2 linked regions of the Kluyveromyces lactis genome follow. The protein of the gene in region 2 binds, or shares a complex with, the protein of the main gene of each other region. Links are inferred from orthologs where the notes say so. Each region holds a gene or a part of one and is shown on either strand. Other genes may lie near its edges.

Region 1 (2,118 bases), about 520 kb from region 2:
CTTCGTATTTGAATAACCCATAAATACCCTTTTCTGGAATTCTACTCTATCCAGAGAAGACTGGTATGCCAATACATGTAGTTGTGATTCCAATGGATCAGAATCGGGAGATGGCATATAAGTTGGCTCCAGATTTGTGGTATTTATTAACGCAAAATAACTAAAAGATCCTTCCAGAATATCGGGAATAGAGACGCGAGATTCGAGCTTGTATTCTCTTAAAATTCGCTGGCTAGCAACTCTAAACCTTTCAATGCCCATTTTCTGGTACTCATCTTCTTCGCAGAGATGAAGTAAATTTGCATGAAATCCCAGTGACAAAATTATGAAGAATTTAAGGACATAACCGTTGTCAAAAGTTGCCCTATACAACGGGAAATCGTTGCAGGACAACTTACCATTGACAAATTGTGAGAATATGACAGCTGGATCCATCAACTTCAAAGAGCTTGCCCATGCATTTCCTGTACCCATTGGGAATGGAAGCACTGAAATACAGTCGTGGTTCAAGGGCAGGTTATTAACGAATTCTGATATCGATGTATCACCAGAAAGAAAGAGAACAGTGTACTGTCTAGTGCTGTCAATGCTCGAGGCCAGTTCTATGACAGATGACTTGGATGTAGTTTTTATTAGGCGGTAAGGGACAATAACCTGCTCAAAGAATTGTGCTATGACGTTCGTGGCGAAATCGCAGTCTTTATCCCGGCCAGATCCTGAAAACACCGAATCTACGATGAGCAGTTCCCCCGAATATTCAAATTTCTTATTAGCGAGAAGCTTCTCATCATCTAAGAGTTTCGAACCAAGTTGGTACGATTTAGCACCTTCTGCTAAAAGCTTTGTGACAATTGTAAATGAGACACCGTTATATATCCCTAATTCTTGTTTAGTTACGTTAGACTCGTCAGGCATTCTGGCCATGAGAAAATTTTATCCTTGAAGATCGGCCTGCCAATCCTTAGCTGATAATAAATTATCTTCGCACCTGGTACCAGGACGGGCATTTTGATAGTAAGTCAGATATTAAAGACTTAAATCCATGCTTGATCTAAACTACCTTCAAACTTGATGTTCTGTTATTTTTACCCAATTAGAAATCAAAAAAGTCTTCGAAAAACGCATCCGTACTGTGTGTGGTTCATGTTCAGGATGAACTTATTGACTTTGAGATCTTTATGAATGATACACACTTGAAACTTGCTGCAGTAGTGAGTTCAATCAGCGGATAAATAGTACTCTTTTAAGATGAATAAAGGAGACACGTCTTTCGAGCACTCTTTGTATGTTATTTCTGGCTCTTATGAATGCAAGTTTATAACTTGAAATACTAACAAGTTGTGATGTAAAATGCCGTACAGACATTTGGAAATACCATTTGAAAGCATTAAACAAGCTGATGTAGCAAGGAAAGTGCTGCTTCCAGACCCCATCATGAAACCAGAGGATTTCCAAGTTACTTATTCTACGCAAGACACCAAACTTATATGTGATTTTGAAAGCGTTGACGAGCGTATTTTACGTGTAGGTGTGAACAGTGTCATTGAATCAATCAAGACAATCGTAGAAACTATTGATGAGTTGTGCTAATGCAAACAGAACAGTACACGTTCGGGGTGCCTTTTCATCATCTTCCCATCTTTCTATTACTTTCTAACCTATGGTACTATGAAATTTCTTAAGGCAGAAAAACTAAACGCAGAACAATTTGTGTCATTGCATTCGTTATTCATATTATGCAGGAACGAAAGTGAAGAAAAAAGTTAAGGATCAAGCCTAGCAATATTTACCAACAGTGTCATGAAATCCCTAAGTCTATAGCCAAGTTCTACAATAAAGCATCGTACTGATTAGCGACAATTCGTATCCATGCATTAGAATCAAAGAAGACCGTCGTCATGTGAGATGTCGTTACCATTTCGAGTTGTGGAGACACGCAGAGTACATCACCAGCTTTCAGACGAAGAAAAGAAAAATGATTGAGGTAATATGTAAAGGTTTGGCAAACAGATACAAACCGGTCGTAGAACTTTTCCTTTCCCCTTCCGTTTCCAAGCCAACTTATTAATGTATATATACATATGCCTTACTATCAATTTTTTAAATCTTACACAAATA
Region 2 (2,245 bases):
AACCACGGGTTAGAATGAACGCACTCAAGTCAATCTGTAACGAAGATAGTCAAGTTTGTTATTTGAGTCAGGCATAGATACCAGGCCTTTAAAAGAACGAGATGACAGGGGAAAGACAAAGCCAACGAGGGGCATTTCATGTTGGAAACATTGACTCAAAACCGGGTAATGACAATAGAATACAAGGCACGTGATTATCACATGCTTCAATTACCCGGATAACAATGGTGATAACTCGAAGAGTTTCTTACTGGTAAAGACGCGATAAACGTAAATACCAGCAAATGCACTCGTTTCATGACAGCATAAACATTACAATATACGCCTCTGATATCTAATTTGTCACAAGAGAAACTAGAATCTCCATTTGCAATGCGAAACATTGCCACGGTTTCTCTTTTCCCGCATCTGCATGTTCTTTCTTATTGTAAATGTGCCATTTCTTACTCTCCGTTCATATACATTTTTGTTTATAAAGACATTTGATATAATTCGGTTTTATAAATTACCTTAACAAATATCAAGACTGAATTAGTATGAGAAGAATACGTGTGAAAATACAGTTATACTTCCCAGCCCAGTGATAAATTATCATTATCATTAAACAATTAAACACCCAATGTTCAGATTAGCCCAACGCCGTGCCTTTTCGGCCACTGCCCGCACCAATGATTTTGCCAAGATGTCCATTATCGGCCGTATTGGTAGCGAATACCAAGAGTTTACTACTGCTAACGATACTCGTTACTTGAAATACTCCATTGCTTCTCAGCCAAGAAAGGACAGCAACACAAACTGGTTCAATGTCACTGTTTTCAACACTAACCACATCAATTTCATGACACAATACGTCAAGAAAGGTGCTTTGGTTTACATCGAAGCTGATGCTTCTAACTATACTTTCGAAAGAGAAGATGGTTCCAGGGGCCAAAGTTTGAGTTTGGTTCAAAGGGATATCAACTTGTTGAAGAACCCAAAGGCACCTGAAACTGAAGAAGAACAACAAGCTTAAGAATGCTGTGATCTGTTAACCAATTCGTGTTGTTTTCTCTCGGCTGCTAATAATGTATTATTCCACATGGAGTATTTTTTTGACTACCTCTATATACTCTCTCTGTCTCTTAGTAATTACGTATAAATACTGTTTTTATCTAATAAGTTCTATCAAGGACATCTCGAATCTCACTCCCAGCCTTTACTTCTACTAGTATGCCTTTTTTTTTCCCCCATTGTGTCACAGGACATGTTCTGATGAATAGCATTTCTTATTTATCATATTGTCAAGATTTCTAATGTTAAATCATCATCTCATCTCATCAACAAGGTATTAAAAAGATAAAAAAGGGTATCGAACACAAGGATCAACCAATGTCTTTACCACACGCTACATATACCGGACCCAAATCAACTCATGAATTCGAAGTCGATCCTTCTGACCCCAGGTACCAGACTACGGAGGGAAGAACTACTGGTGCTTCAGATTATGTATTGAAACAAGGGCATCAAGACGTCGATAAACCTAGTGACCCAAAGAAGGTTGATAACGTCAATAGTAAGACAGGAATCGATCAATATACCACGCTTTCGCAACTGCGGATGCAATTGACCGGATTACAAGACGATATCAATGAGTATTTGACTGAGAAGATCAATCACGTGAAAAAACCTCGTAACAGCAAGCAAGAACAAGAGATAAACGATCTATTGGATGGTTCTGAAGAAACCTGAAGATTCTGCAGATCGAGAGCTTCGAATTCTGTCGTTTGAGTGTTGAATGGTATTTATACGTACTTATTATCTGTTTGTATATAAATAGTGTCATCAAATTGTACTATATCGTTCCGGTTTTTTGATCATCTTAAAGTTGGTGAGTCAACAGATTGTGACATCTCTTCAGAGAGAAATAGGTACTGGTATACACCGCCAAGAGTCCTAGAAGGACAGCTGAATAACATCAAAGTGTAATCACGCCATGGGCAAGCTATTTCGGGTCGATTTGACCGTTCTTTCTTTTGTCTGCTTGCAATATTGGATCAACTATGTGGATAGAATCGGTTTCACCAATGCTTATGTTTCCGGTATGAAAGAGGATCTCGGGTTCAAGTCAAATCAGTTCAATATCGCTAATACGTGTTTCACCGTTGGATATTTGTTAGGTATGATCCCTCATAATTTGATTCTATTGAGAATCAAACCTCGGATTTGGTTGAGTTTCTGCACTTTTGCTTGGGGTATTCTGACATTG

The links.
Region 1: GON7 (region 2) and PCC1 share a complex: the UniProt entries of both Saccharomyces cerevisiae proteins name them as parts of the EKC/KEOPS complex. The link is inferred for Kluyveromyces lactis from reciprocal best matches to the Saccharomyces cerevisiae genes GON7 and PCC1.

The regions. Positions count from the first base shown.
Region 1 is NC_006037.1:48,905-51,022, reverse strand, and holds PCC1 (chromatin DNA-binding EKC/KEOPS complex subunit PCC1), read left to right. Parts: upstream 1-1,248; coding exon 1,249-1,283; intron 1,284-1,361; coding exon 1,362-1,590; downstream 1,591-2,118. Other genes in the region: KLLA0_A00550g (uncharacterized protein), read right to left, coding at 1-924. UniProt on the Saccharomyces cerevisiae protein: Component of the EKC/KEOPS complex that is required for the formation of a threonylcarbamoyl group on adenosine at position 37 (t(6)A37) in tRNAs that read codons beginning with adenine.
Region 2 is NC_006037.1:564,808-567,052, forward strand, and holds GON7 (chromatin DNA-binding EKC/KEOPS complex subunit GON7), read left to right. Parts: upstream 1-1,368; coding exon 1,369-1,728; downstream 1,729-2,245. Other genes in the region: RIM1 (Rim1p), read left to right, coding at 620-1,012; FEN2 (Fen2p), read left to right, coding at 1,973-2,245. UniProt on the Saccharomyces cerevisiae protein: Component of the EKC/KEOPS complex that is required for the formation of a threonylcarbamoyl group on adenosine at position 37 (t(6)A37) in tRNAs that read codons beginning with adenine.